3 linked regions of the Ovis aries genome follow. The protein of the gene in region 3 interacts with the protein of the main gene of each other region in a pairwise test. Links are inferred from orthologs where the notes say so. Each region holds a gene or a part of one and is shown on either strand. Other genes may lie near its edges.

Region 1 (4,580 bases), on a different chromosome or scaffold from region 3:
TCTCTGGCTCCTGCTTCCTGCTGGGTGGATATCAGGGCATCGGAACTCGCACTGCGCCCCACCCGCACATCTGGGGTTCAGCGAGGTCCAGGGCTGACTGCTGAAGGCAAGGGATGCAGGCTTGGGCGTGGGATTCTGTTCTCCTAGTCAGTTGGTGCTCCCTAGCCCTCAGAGACAGGGGTAGCAGGAAAGGCCCGAGGGACCGGGGGCGCCGCTGAACTCCTTCCGAGGGGGGCGGCCACAGCCTCTCATCGCCTGCCAGGACTCGGGGGCCCAGAGGCCGAGAGGGGACTGCCAGGTGTGCGGAGGCGGGGTCCCAGGTCCCCGGCCCTATCCTCCCACCCGCCCCGCCCTTCCCGCCTCGGAGGCGCCGACCCCGGCCCGGGCCGCTTTGTCCCGCCGCCGCCCTACAAAGCGGCCTTTGTGGCCCGCGGCCTCCGCAGGACCCGATGACGTCAGCCTCCGTGACCAGCCCGGCGGGGCCAAGCGTGGACTGCCGCGCCCTCTGGCGGCCGACGGTGGAAAAGCTCGTCTACGAACCCCGCCCGGCAGAGGAGGGCCTTTCACCGACCCCTCCCCACGGGCTCAGCCGGCTCCCGGGAAAAAGTCCAGGGACCTTGCCTGGCTCTTGGGGTTCACCCACAGCCACTGTGGATCACAGTCACTGTCATCTGCCGCTCCCTCCTCCAGCAACGCACGAGCACTTCCCATAGCTTCATGAAAGCCTCAGAGACTCACTGGACACTCCTGCTCCCAGTGTGGAAGAATCCCTTAGGTGAGCTTCTTAAGAAATCGGCCCCACTGTTCCAGGAGGCTGCCCCAGACCCAAGACTGCAGAGGCGCTGGGGGTCAAGGGGGGGACCTAGAGGCCCCTAACACGTTAAGATGACTAGTCCAAGTGGGAAAACTGAAGAGATGAGTACTGGGCCTCAGTATGACCTGGCAGTTGAGTACCCAGGGCAAGACCACAAGCACCTTAGCACATCTAAGCCTGGGTCTCTGCCTGCAGGAGAGAAGAATGCCAAGAAGGTCTTGGAATCTTTTTTTTTTTTCTTTCTACGTTTTATTATTTCAAACCAGGTGAACAATTCCATAAAACATGTGAAAAAAGCAAGGAAGTGTTCAACGCTGAAGGACCCGGGCCTGGGGCGAGGGCATGAGGGGCATGGCCCCTCAGCAGGCAGCGGCGGTTCCTAGGTTAGCGCTAAGGAGCTACGTTTAGGTTAATGGAGCCAGGGCCCAGGGCCACTGGGGTGGGGCCCTCAGTGATGTTGGCAGTTGTCTGGAACAGCCCTTGGAACCCAATTCTGTGGAGGGCAGGGTCGGGGTGCCACCCGCACAGGGGGCAACCAGCAGAGGGATGGGTGTAAACACGTAGACACACTCAAGGCACGGAATCACCGGAAAGGGGTTGGGTGGGTGCTGGTCAGGATCTGACAGTTTTAAATAGTTTTTTCTAAAAAGTTTTCTAGGTTTGCAGTTTTCTTTTTTTTCCCCCCCCTTTGACTTTCTTTTAATTAAAAAAAAAAAAGCTACGAGAATGAACAAGTGGACTGTGGTCTTCAGGAATGGTGGCGTCTCACGCTTCTTGTGCTTTTTCCTTTGGGGCCTCCGAGTGGCTTGGGGGTGGGGGCAGGTTGTGGGGGTGGGCAGGAGGCTCCCTGTAAACATTTGGACTCGGGTTGGGTCAGGGGCTGGTGTTGGGCAAAGCCAGGGGTCCCAGGCTGGAGAAGTGGGTGCCCCTCCAAACACAGGCCGTGGGAGACTCAGCATGGGCTCCCCTCCCCCATCACAGAACAAAACAATGGTTAAAACCAGAATGGAGACCAGGAGGGGCTAGGGCACTCCCTGCACCTGGGACAAGGGCAGGCTTCAAACAGGGAGGCCTGTGGCAGCCCCTCCCCCAAGTCTCTGGAGCTGAGGGCTGGACGGTGGGGAGCCAAAAACAGAGAGGAAAGAAGGGGAAAAGCGGCCAGGGGGACAGGCGGGGAGCGTGGTCCTCTTGCCCCCGTCTTCCGCAGGGGCTGGGGTAGCAGAGTCGGCGGTGGCCCTGGAGGTGGGGGACAGTCAGGGCGTGGGTCGGGAGGGAGGTAGCCAGTGTGGGTCTCTCTGCCCGCCTCCCTAGACGATGACCCTTCTCCAGTTTCCCCACCCACTTGTTACCAGGGACATGGTGCTGGTGTATGTTGCTGGGTTACACACACACTGTAACCCCTGTTCAAGAATGAATGGGAGGGGAGACTGGAGCTCTGGCAGAACCCTCCCCACCCACCACTCCCAGGGGCTGGTGAGGCCAGCCTCAGCCCGGGACCCTCAGCTGGGTCCGAGGGAAAGATGGCAGAGGTGAGCACAGAGCTGGTCGTGCTGAGTGGAGGGCGGCTGGGCCCCTTCTGTCATCTCAATCCTTCAGGCCAGTCCGGTGGCCTTGTGGGTGGGAACGTGAGTTTTCGCCAAGGAAAATGGGGACAGCCCTCCAGTTGTCCCAGGACACAGCCCGATGCTTCTACTGTCTGGACTGCCGGGCCTCCCTGTGCCCCGTCCTCAGTGCCCTACCCTGTCACCCTCCCGACTCAACACCCTGCGCCCCCCATGCCCCGCGCTCTGGTCTCTCCCGGGGTCCGAGCTCGCCACCCCCGGCTGGACACTCTGGCCCTCCCTGCCCCCTGGCCGGGCTCAGTGGCCCTCCCTGGCCCTCCCGGCCCGCCCCCCGGCTCACCATCCTGCCAGGCCCCGCTGCCCCTCAGAAGAGGCCGCAGTCCTTCAGGTTGTTCTTGATGATGACGTCAGTGACGGCGTCGAACACGAACTGCACGTTCTTGGTGTCAGTGGCGCACGTGAAGTGCGTGTAGATCTCCTTGGTGTCCTTGCGCTTGTTCAGGTCCTCGAACTTGCTCTGGATGTAGCTGGCTGCCTCGTCGTACTTGTTGGCCCCTGGGTGGGTAGGCAAAATGGTGAGGACTCGAGCTACGTGGGCAGGCGGGCCCATCCCACAAGTCCAGAGAGGGTTCTGTGCGTGTGAACCAACAAGCCTGGATGTGTGACAACTGTCAGAGTGCACAGGCACATCTGAGTGTGCAAAGAGGGGCACCTTATTGTGTGAGGGACGATGCCCAGTGACGTGTATGGGGTACATGCCCAAGTGTGTTAAAAGGGCCCTAGGATGTACAGACACAAGTGTGTAAGCCTGTGAAGCACCAGCTCTGTATGAGTGTCCCGCACTTTACCCTCCTGTCCAGTGGGGGGCACCCGTGGGCCACCTGGTCACCACCAGCTCCTCCCCAGAGGCCCAGATCCCACACCTGTATACTCAGGGAAGCAGATGGTCAGGGGGCTGTGTATGATCTTCTCCTCAAACAGGTCCTTCTTGTTCAGGAAGAGGATGATGGACGTGTCTGTGAACCACTTGTTGTTGCAGATACTGTCAAACAGCTTCATGCTCTCGTGCATGCGGTTCTGGGGGCAGGACAGCGCTTTCAGCACCAGCCACCTCCCACACCTCCCCCAGCGCTCCCTTGCCCGTGGCCTCTGGGCCTCTCACCATCTCCTCGTCCTCGGCGAGCACCAGGTCATAGGCGCTCAGAGCTACACAGAAGATGATGGCTGTGACGCCCTCAAAGCAGTGGATCCACTTCTTCCGCTCAGACCGCTGGCCGCCCACGTCAAACATCCTGCAGACACAGCGCCTCAGCTCCAGAAAAGGGAGTTCTGGGAGAAGCCCCCTGCCCCGTTTCATGGACTGACAGACTGAGGACAGAGGCCTGCTCAGGGTAAGGCAGCTGCCTCCATGGTATCACCCACACTGGCCCACTTTCCCCCAGTTCTGGCCCAGCGGAGTGAGTGAGGCTGGTTAGCAGGGCAGATGGCTGCCACACGGGGCAGGGTCAGCAGAGGCTGTGAGCTCCTGGCCACCACACAGCCTTAAGGAACTCAGAGTGGGGCTGGGGGATCCCAGATGAACCCTCTTTCCCAGCACAGCCCTCAGCAGACCCCAATGTGAGGATCTCTACCCGTCACCCCCAAGGCTGGCTGCTCCCAGCCCACAAGCCCGCTCACTTGAAGTGTAGGTCTTTGAAGGTGAAGTGCGTCTCCACGATGCCCGTGGTCTTCACTCGAGTCCGCAGCACGTCCTGCTGCGTAGGGATGTAGTCGCTCTGGGCGATGCGCTCCAGGTCGTTCAGGTAGCTGCAAAGGGGTATGGGGGTGGGGGGGGCATCAGTGGGAGCCAACTGGCCCCTTGCCCTTCCGTCCCTTTATTTCTCAGGCATAGCTCCTGACTCTTCTTTGCTTATTTTTAATTGAAAGATAATAGGTTTACAGTATTGAGTTGGTTTCTACCAAACTAACATGAGTCAGCCATAGGCTTACCTGTGCCCCTCCCACTCGAACATCCCTCCCACTTCCCTCCCCATCCCACCCCTCTAGGTTGTTAGCGAGCCCCAAGGTCTGAGTTCCCTGGGGTCTTCCAGCAAACTCCCACTAGCTTCTATCTCACACAGGCCCCTGACTCCTTAACCCTTGCCTGCATGGCATCTACCGCTCAGCCGGGGGGCAACTCTGAGGCCAACCAGCCAAGCCCCAGC
Region 2 (4,509 bases), on a different chromosome or scaffold from region 3:
TGAGCCACACGGAGCTCAGACCACACGCTGGCCCAGCGGGCTGTGAACAGTGGGTCCAGAAGCAGGGTCAACAGTGGATCAGTGAGTGATGGGCTGGGGTGGTCTCTGTGTGCGGTGCCTTATGGGGGCAGCAGGAGCCGAGCTGGGCTTCGGGACAGTCAGTAGGTCCAGGTCTGGGGGTCTTAGACACCACGGCTCCTGAGGCCACTGAGAACAGTGCCAGCGTTAGAAAGAGCTGCACACCTGGGGTCCCAGAGCCTCGCCCCGTAACACAGCAGGGTTTGTGGGGTTCCGCTGATGCCCCGCTCGGAAGTGTTCCAGGTACCGAAGGAGAAAAGGCAAGGGCGACAGGTCAGCATGCGGCGCGAGTGCTGACGGCCCACCCGGCCGGTGGCTCTGGCCCCATCTAACCATGGCACCGTCACCGCATAAGCCCGACCTCTCCGAACGGCGGCGCCTCTTCCCATACCACCACACCCCAAAGCCCAGCAGACCTCAGTAGCAGCCCCGTGGGACCGGCAGGCAGGACCGACGACGAGACAGACCCGGAAAGAAGATAGCCTTGCTCAAGGCCCACCCTGACAAGCCCAGTCCCAAAACCTCAGCGCCAGGGGTTTGTGCCTGCCTGCATCACACACAGGAGCTAACGATCGCCAAGGATGTGACCCCACGGCCCAGAAGCCCCACCTCAGCGGGTGCTTGTCTCCTGAGACCCCACCAGGCCCACCTCTCTGTGGGCAGCTCAGTGGGACCCCGGCTCAGGACAACCCTCAGGGACGACACAACCACCAGCCCAGGGCTGCTAAGCCAGAGACGGTTCCAAGTCCTTGAAGATTCTCACCCCACTGCCCACACCCCACCAGGCGGGTATGATGGTTACACCCCTAAGATAGAGAGGGTGCTCCCTGAATCCAGCAGCAAACCAAGGCCAGGCCTAGAGAAAGGCAGCACCCCCTGCAGAGAGGGCCCCCCTCTGAAGTTCCCCTCAGCCTGGCAGTTCTCCGAGGCCCCAGACTGAAGACGCAGAGACGGAAGGTGGGAACCCGGGCTGGCGCCCTCCAGGGGAGGGGCCTGTGCCCCCCACCCTGTCACTCACCATGAGCCCTGGCCCACAGCCCAACCCTCTGCCAGCCCTGCCCACTGCTCAGGGAGGGCTGTCGGAGCTAAGAACTGCTATTTCTGTCTTACATAAATTCTTGCTTGACTGCACCCTGATTTCATTTAGGATTTGCTTAACTTGGTTCTGGCCTGACGGCCTCTGCGACTCTGCTGTGTTTACTGAAGAGGCCCTTGCTGCCCGTGCCCCGGCATCTGCACATAGCCTCTGGCAGGGGGCCCAAGGCTGCCTTCACTGCACTGGCATCATGAGGCATCTGGCTGAAGTCAGGAGAGAGGTGGGAACAACCAAGCCAAGGACGGACCCCCACCCCCGCAGCTGGCTCTGCCCGAGAGGCATCGTGGGCCACTGAGGCCGGGCGGGCTGGGGCCACTCACCGTGGTCTCGTCTTCGTGGAGCACCTGGTCATAGCCGCTGAGCGCGACGCAGAAGATGATGGCCGTGACGTCCTCGAAGCAGTGGATCCACTTCTTGCGCTCAGACCGCTGGCCCCCGACGTCAAACAGCCTACCAGGAAGACAGGAGAGCTGGGGGTGGGGGTAGGGAGACCCCAGCAGGTGTGGGGACACTGGTCGAGCTGCGGGGTCAGGGAGGAAGGCTGCTGTGCACACAGCAAGCCTCCCAAGGAGCCTCGCTTCGGGCTGAGGACCGAGCACGGCACCCTCGGGGTGGGGTGGCCGTCACTGCTCTGCCCCGGGACTGGGTGGTGCCCCACACAGCGACGCCAAGACCCGCCCCTGCATCTCAGCGCTGTTGCGAAGGGGTGACCTCGGCTGGACATGCCTTCGCAAGCCTCCAGCTTTCTGAGCATGTCTGTTCACGTCTGTGGTCCGGGGAAACCCCAGAGCAGCCTGGGAGGCACAGAGGGAGGTGGGCAGGGACCTGCAGCTCCCACGTGGAGGCCCAGTGAAGCAGCAAGGGGTTGAGTGCAGGGTGCCGGCAGGAGTTGGGGTGAGACCAACGTCGGTCTGTAGACGTCTGGCTGTCAACGTCTGTCTCTCTGCTCTGTGCCCGCCCTCCCTCACCCCTTCTCAGCATCATCCCCTGGGGCATGAGAGCTGTCAGGGGAGATGGTGGCAGAGGGGATTTGGTCCTGGAAGTGCGAGGTCAACCTCACATCTAACGCCCTGAGTGAAGATCCCAGGCCTGACGCACAGCTGCCAGGGTGGGCAGGGCCCCAACCCGCTGATAGAGGAGAACAGCCACAGGCCGAAGCCCACAGCGGACCTAGAGCAAGGACACAGGTCCGGTCCTCATCCCGTCACCACCTCCCTTGGACCCTGCTTCTCCATCTGAAATACTGGGCCCTGGTGATGGTCTCTGAGGCCCCTCCACAGCACATACTCTCAGCTGCTGCGGGCCAGGCGCCCCCAGCCCAGCTCTACACCCTCTGCCCTGATCGGTAAGTGGGAGAGACTGAGGGACTAGAGCAGGCAGGGGCTGGGCCTCAGGCTGGGCAGGGCCAGGCAGTGGCCTCACTCAAGTCTACTGGTCTACTGTCCTGGCCATCCTGGCCTCTCCTCCTGCTCCACCCAACACCCAGAAACCACACCCAGGAGGCAGCTGGAGGCAGCTAGGGGCACCCAGGCCTCAGGGCATGCAAGCTGCCCCAGGTGGTGCTATGACACCCTGGCAGGGCCTACGGTGCTCAGACCCTGGGCCTGAGCTATGTTCTGTGCTCGGGAACAGACTTGCTCCTCCAGGTCTCAGTTTCCCCTATATACCTGGAGAGGGTGGGCCAGCTGATCTCCAAGCCCCTTCTAGTTCTGAGATGACATGGGTCCTTGGGTCACACAAAACATGTTGCTTAGGTTCGCCCGCTCTTATCCCCCACGCCTCCATGCCTTCAAAGACCACCTGGGTGATCCACCATCCTCCCCGTCAGAAGTCAGGCAGGGACAGGACTACCCTCCTTTGTCCACTTGAATCCTCCCTGTATCTCAGAGCCCCTCTCCAGGATGCTTCTTCTAGGAAGCCTCCCTGCTCACCACAGCCCCTGACCTTGGTGGCAAAGAGGGGTACACACAGGTCCCTTCTCGCATCCAACTGCTTGTCCCAACTTGAGAGCTCCCTGAGACAGGAATGCTCCAGATGAGCTGAGGCTGGGAGGCAGGGGTCGCCCGTGTCTTAGCACCCTCTCCAGGGATGGGGAGTCTCCCTGGCCCTCACCTGAAGTGGAGGTTCTTGAACGTGAAGTGGGTTTCTACGATGCCGGTGGTTTTGACCCTGGTTCGGAGGATGTCCTGCTCGGTGGGCTGGTAGTCGGCGGCCCCGATCCGGTCCAGGCTGTCCAGGTAGCTGGGGATGGCAGCACACGGGGACTGTGGACCAGGTGTGGGCACTGCCCTCCCAGAGTGCCAGCCCCGACCCAAGCCAGGGAGGGACGGCATCACCTGTCCAGGGCCAGGTGTGGGGCGGAGCTGAGGAAGAGACGCCCGCGTCCCGGCCTCAGGCGCTCAGAGCCTCTAACTCAGACCAAGGGCTTCGCACACAGTTCAGCCTCACTCAGACAAGTCAGGCTTTTCAATGAGACTAATGTGTTTATGGGCTTTCAGGTGGTGCTAGTGGTAAAGAAGCTGCCTGCCAATGCGGAGATGTAAGAGACTCGGGTTTGTTCCTTGGGTCGGGAAGATCCCCTGGAGGAGGGCATGGCAACCCATCCTAGTAGTCTTGCCTGGAGAATCCCACAGGAGCCTGGTGGGCTACAGTCCATAGGCTCCCAAAGAGTCGGACATGAATGAAGCAGCCTAGCGTGCACACACGTGTTTCTAACACTGTCATTTCTTCATCTTAAAATAACGATGGGCTAAAGTTAGCTTCTAGTCTTTCTGCGCATTATCATGTTCCACCCTTAATTTCTTGAGGTAAATGTATTATTTCCTAGATTAGAAAACTCAGGTTTTCTAATGAAGGTGAGTGCCTGGCCCAGCCCTGAGTCAGGGTTTTGGATCCCACCTCCTAACAGTACCCTGCAGTGCTTCCCAGAGGCCCTCTGCGCCTCCACCCACCTCTCACACTCCTCAGGTTTACCAGGGGGCTGTCGCATCTTCCCATCTGATGCTCCTGGGAGGGAGGCCCAGAAGCCACACAGACAGGCAGGGGCGGGGCCTCGCTGGTACCTTAGGCATCATGGCCCCTGCCATGCCATCACTTGCCCTGGAGACAGACCTGGCCTGTGCATTTGGTCCTCCAAGGCCACACGCTGGGAAAGCTTTAGGGGTTGGTACGGGTTAAGGTTTGAACCCTAAGTCAGGTTGAGATCCAGGAAACTAGGAAGCAGAGAGCTCGCTCAGACTGGCAGGAAGATTCAGGGACCCTCAGGGCCAGCTGGGCAACCCATCCCTGTGCAGGGGGAGTCATATGCAGCCCACAGGGAGCAACCGTGAGGGTCT
Region 3 (5,277 bases):
CCTGCCAGGCATTCTGAGTCTCTCCCTACCTGCCTCCCTGGCCTCCCACCTCCACGGACTCTCCTCCGCCTCCCACCTCCCACCTCTAGACTACTCTGCCCAGGCCCAACCCCCACTCTAGTCTACACAGAAGATGTGAGGGGATGGGGATCAGGAAGGAGGAGACCCCAGACAAGCTCTCCACAGGAGGTTCTGGGACACCCCCATCTGCTCCCTCCCTGGGAAGCCGGAAGCAGGGGTTCCTCTTTCTTGGTTTCCGGCTCCTGGCCCCTCCCAGGGGGCTGCAGGCCCCCAGAGTCTGAGTCTGAGTCTGAGGCTCTCAGGGGTGGTGGTAGACATTCAGAACCTCCCTCCCAGGTTTTCCAGGGGATGGGTGGTGGGAGGTGGGGAGGCTGCTTCCCACCAGGAGTTCAGAAGGGCTGCGGGGCCTTGGAGGCCCCCCGCCTACTCCCAGGGACTCCGCAGAGGGAGCAGACCAGGCCTGTGGCACGGAGCACTGGAGTAGGGCTTGGGGCTGAGGCAGGGCGTCCTGAAGGTGCGGGCAGTGCAGCAGGCACAGCCGCCTTCTCAGCCCGGACGCTGGCTCCGCACCCAACCTTCGACTGGCACCTCCGGGTCTCCCAGCCTCCTTTCCCCTCCCCACCCCCAGGCTACGGAAACCGCTGCGGCCCCAGGCCTTGCCGCAGGCGGGCGGTGGCGCGTCTTGCTCCCGGGCGGGTAGGAGCCGCGGGGTCCCTTCCGCTCGGAGCGGCATCGGGGCGAACCTTCCCCTTCTGCAGTGCGGGCGTGCGGAGGGTGCTCAGTCCCACCCGGATGAGCGGCCCCTGTTGGGAACGCAGGGACCGAGGGCGGCCAATCAGGCTCCAGGAGGCAGTTTTGAACGCCTTCCCACCTGCCCTCACCCCACCCCCACCTCGGCCCAGGTGAGGCATCCCGCCCCCTTCCCCGGGGTAGGGGCGGCCCCTGGCGCGTCTGGGGCGCGGACCTTCTGAAACCCCGCCGCGAGAGACTCACGACTTGGTTTCACTTTATTTTCTCATTAAATGAACATTCTCTCAGTTGCTGCCTCCCCCCCCCCCCACGCCCCCCATTCCTCAGCTTTGGCTTTTCAGTGCCTGTTTGGTTCAGTTGGCCTCTTGGGGTCTGCGATGGCAGGAGAGGAAAACGATGTTGCAGGACGGGCCCCAGGACGGTCGCAGGCTGGGCAACCCCGGCGTCCCATCTCCTGGCCAGGTGCTGGTGCCCAGGGATGACAGCCCGAGACATGCACGCTGAGGGCACCCCTGTCTCCAGAGTCTGAGCATGCAGAGGCCCCTGCCCTGACCCGGATCTGGGGGCCAGGTGGAGGGGCCCATGGGGTCTTGGCCCTTGGCTGCCTGCCTGGCTTCCCCTGGAGCATGGGAAGGTGGACCTTCAAGCTTCCAGCAAACAGACAAGATGGGGAAACAGCAGCCCCACAGCTTGCCTTCCCGCAGGGGTCAAGTTTCTAGGGAAAGGAAGGGGTGTGGCAACCTCTGAGGTCTGGTAGCTGTACCCCAGCCGGGCTGTGACTTCCCCAGGCAGAGCGGCTCTTCCTCCTCAGCATCTCCACCCACTGTGAGTGGGGGCAGGGCCCCAATTCCCCCCACCACCACCCCCTAGCTCCCTGAAGATTAAACTCCCTAGGCTGCCTTCTCCAAATCAGCTCTGAACTGGAGGAGGGGACCTGCCTGAGAGTGCTGCGCCCAGGTGCTGGGGGCTGAGTTGTGGCAGAGATGGGGAGAGGCCGCCCCTCTGCCCTGGTTGTAGGCCCTGGACGTTGTCGCCCACCCCTGAACCTGGCTCCCTGCACCATCCCCAGGCCGGCTGGGACCACTTATGCCTCTGGGGCACCTGCTCTCTCTCCTAGTGGGGTTACAGGATCAGAATCAGGGCTCCTGCCCCTCATCCGGGCATGTGGAAGGGGGCTCCTTCCTCTTCCCCAGCCCCATCCAGGCTTTGGCCCCTAAGTCTAGGATGGGAGAAGCTGGACGGGCAGTAAGTCTGGCCTCTGGGGACAGAGGTTCCCTCGGGAGCAGCTGCTGCTCTGCTCCACAGAAGGAAAAAGAACGTCCCCGAGCCCGCCCAGTCCAAAAAAAGAATAAGAAAATGTGACAATCCCAGGAAAAAATGCCATAACCTTTGTGAGGGGGGTTGCCAGAGGGGCTCCATTCTCTTCTCATCCTCCTCAGCACCTTTCCTGTTTGCTTCGCCCCCGGCCCTCCACCACTGGGCTGGTAGGGACGTCCCAGCCTAGCGGCTCCAAGGCAGGCCAATTTTCCTAGCCCTGGTGACCCTCGCCCCAGCCCACCTCTGCAATGGCAGGGGCAACCCACTTCTCTCTCTCCTTCTCTCGGCTAATAGGGTCTGGCCTGGGGAAGTCTGCCCCTTTCTCCGGCCTCTGACGCCCCCACCCTACCCTCAAGGAACTCGCCACGCGCCCCACTCACCAGCGACCCAAAGGCGAGGTGGGGGCGGGAGGGGCCAGGTCGCTCTGGGCCCCACCCTGGCTGCCGAAGGGGCGTGCACTGCAGCAGCAGGACTCAAGTCAGACGGCAGGAGGTCCTCCTGCGCGTTCTGGAGCGAGGCTGGCGCCAGGAGCCCCCGATCAGCTCGGGCCGGGGGCGCAGCGCCTCCCCTCCGACTGGCGGGGATGACTGACTGCCAGATCCAGCGGGGTGGGGGCGGGGGCAGTACGGGTGTCCCGCCTCGGCCCCTCCCCACCAGGCTGAAGGGGGGACGGGAGACGCGGAAACCTGGGTTCTTCCGGCCCCCCCCCCCCACTTTGAGCAATCACTTCCCCAGGCTTTGAGCTGCAGAAAAAGGGGAACCCGCTTGCAACGCCCCCTCCCCCACGCGCGGGGACTGCATCCAGTCCCGCCGCGGCCCAGGGTCCACGTGGACCCCTCGGCGGGAGTCCTTGGGGCGCGGATCTGGGCGCCGGTTACCGAAGCTCCCGCCCCGCACAGCCCACGGGCCCCGGGCCGGAGGGGCAGGGCTGCCGTCCTGGGCGCCGCGCGCGCGCACTCACCGGCCGCGCTCCCGAGCCGCTCGCGCCTCAGCCGCCGGCCCGCGCGTTCCGAGGTCCGGCCGGATCGTCGGGGAGCGGGCGCAGGCTGCAGTGCGCAGGCGCCTCGGCCGCACTTCCCCAAAGCGCGGGGCCGGGACTTCCTCGCGCGGGGAGGTGCCCGGCCCGGCCCGCCCCGCCCGGCGCGCCCCGCCCCGAGCTCTGCCGGCTCCGCGCCCCACCCGCCCCCTCCCCACCGCTCGCGCGCGGCGTCTGGGTCCCCATTGTCGCTGAGTGGCCCGTGGAGATGAGGTGCTGATGCTGGGGCCTCTGGCTCCCGGAGCGGCTGAAGTGGTACTGCGGCAGCTGGGGGTGTGGCCGTGCCTCCAGCTCTTCTCGGCGGGGCCAGTCCAGCGTTGCCGTTACAGGGGTAGGGGGGTGGAAGGGGGCGACTCCGTGGGCTGCTTGCCCCTCTTGAGGAAGGGAGAGGCGGCTGGAAAGGACTGGACCCCGTGGTCACTCCCGAGCCGTCCCTAGGCTCTGGCACGGAGTATCCTTAGCTGTGAAACGCGGTCAAGGGCGTGCTGTCAGTCACCGTGCTGTAGGGCCTTCCCAAGGAAGGCGGTTCCTGGGCTGCGGCGCCACTGGGGCGGGGTGAGGGGTGGGCAATGGTTCTTATATCCGGGGTCGCCAAAGTCCCTGTCCGCGTGGCCGGCTGAGTCCCTTTCAACCCTTCCAGTTGCCCCAAAATGTTCTAAAGTTTAAAGCCACACTCTCCCCTTTGCCAGGAATGCCTGACTCTTCTCTTTGGCCAAATCTCGTATTTTATGACTCGGTACAGATGTGAGTTAAATTCCTTATCCCAGCATGCTTTGGGCCCGTATTTGGACGGCCCCGACCCTGCTCTGAAAGTGGTCTGCAGAGTGTCTGAGTCCCCTGGCCTCAGAGTGTGTACAGCTCATGTCCCTTGGTCCCTGGGCCTGCTCACAAAATGCCTTCCAGTTGCACAAAGTTGTATATGCTCGCGTTTTTCAGCGCTCTTGGGGATATAAAGGGAAGGGGAGAATTTACATACTGTCTTCATCCTGCAAATGTCTGGGTGTTCTCTACATGTCAGCCTTGGGACCTGGCAGTGGGCAGAACAGACCAGCCATAGAGCAGACAAGAAATGGACTTGCAGACTGGGTGAGAGGTGAGGAGGGCTAAGGAGAACCACAGAGCAGAGAGCGGGTGTTTCAGACCTGCATCTTGCTTGGCAAAGGATAAAACTGGAGCCAGCAGAGAGCTGAGCTGAGCTGGAGAGAGTGCAGGCCAAGGCCAGAGAGGAGGGAGAGGCCCCGAAGGCTGGGGGGCCTCTTATGCTGTGTCCTTGGAGGACTTGGCTGTCATGTTGACAGGCTGGTTGGGCTGGAGCAGAGGCCAGAAGCCTACCCAGATGGGAGGTGGCTGCTTCTTATATAGCCTAGATAACTGTCCCAGGAGGTAAGGCCTTCAAAGATGGGCCAACACTTAGTCCAGGCCAAACAGCCATGCTCATGCTGTGATGCTTGACATGGCATCTCCACCTGCATCCTGAGATGTGTGGGGCAGCTGGATGTGGTGGGGGTAGGCGTATGTCTCTCCTGGGGTAACACTGGGGGTGGGATTTGGACCCAGGACCCTCTGTCTAGAGCATGAGCTCCCAGCCCTGGGGACGCCTCGCCTCCCATCCCAATCCCTTATAGCCTCCAGTCATTGGGTTGTGGCTTGCATGCTTTGCTTTCTCGTAGCAGAAGCCTCCTCCAGGCCCTGCAGCAATGTCCTCGGCTACTTTCCCAGTTATTCTCTCCGGACCAAGGCTGCCTTCATGGTGGGGTGATCAAATTTACCCCCATCCCAGCCCCCACCTGGTGCAGAGCTCAAGGTGAAGGGTGGAGCCTTCACCTGGACGGCTCCTCAGGGCTGTGTGCACCTCTCTCGTCCTCTGCCCTTCAGTGCCTGCCTGTTTAGAGTGACCCCTCTCTTACAGAGCACTCACCTGGGGCCGTGATGCCATGTGAGGTCATTAAGGGTTCCTTTTTAAAGATAAAGAAATGGAGGCTCAGAGGAATGATGAAGTAAAATGTGCTTTGACTAAACAGATGAAATCATTCCAGTGCTTGGCGCTTCCCCCAGAGATGGAATGCTGGGGTTCAGATGCAGGGAGCTTAACCAGGGGAGCCAGGGCCAGCTGGCATCTTGCACGTGTCAGCAGGTAAGTGGCTGTTGCTCTG

What was found.
Region 1: the proteins of RGS19 (region 3) and GNAI2 interact in a two-hybrid assay, tested with the Homo sapiens proteins (2 studies listed by BioGRID and IntAct). The link is inferred for Ovis aries from reciprocal best matches to the Homo sapiens genes RGS19 and GNAI2.
Region 2: the proteins of RGS19 (region 3) and GNAO1 interact in a two-hybrid assay, tested with the Homo sapiens proteins (2 studies listed by BioGRID). The link is inferred for Ovis aries from reciprocal best matches to the Homo sapiens genes RGS19 and GNAO1.

What each region holds. Positions count from the first base shown.
Region 1 is NC_056072.1:50,152,646-50,157,225, forward strand, and holds the end of GNAI2 (guanine nucleotide-binding protein G(i) subunit alpha-2), read right to left. Parts: intron 4,183-4,580; coding exon 4,054-4,182; intron 3,669-4,053; coding exon 3,539-3,668; intron 3,454-3,538; coding exon 3,300-3,453; intron 2,932-3,299; coding exon 2,741-2,931; 3' UTR 2,717-2,740; intron 2,051-2,716; 3' UTR 1,039-2,050; downstream 1-1,038. UniProt on the Homo sapiens protein: Guanine nucleotide-binding proteins (G proteins) are involved as modulators or transducers in various transmembrane signaling systems.
Region 2 is NC_056067.1:23,771,181-23,775,689, forward strand, and holds part of GNAO1 (guanine nucleotide-binding protein G(o) subunit alpha), read right to left. Parts: intron 3,416-4,509; coding exon 3,287-3,415; intron 1,625-3,286; coding exon 1,495-1,624; intron 1-1,494. UniProt on the Homo sapiens protein: Guanine nucleotide-binding proteins (G proteins) function as transducers downstream of G protein-coupled receptors (GPCRs) in numerous signaling cascades.
Region 3 is NC_056066.1:53,495,157-53,500,433, reverse strand, and holds the start of RGS19 (regulator of G-protein signaling 19), read right to left. Parts: upstream 3,137-5,277; 5' UTR 2,469-3,136; intron 825-2,468; 5' UTR 682-824; intron 1-681. UniProt on the Homo sapiens protein: Inhibits signal transduction by increasing the GTPase activity of G protein alpha subunits thereby driving them into their inactive GDP-bound form. Binds to G-alpha subfamily 1 members, with the order G(i)a3 > G(i)a1 > G(o)a >> G(z)a/G(i)a2.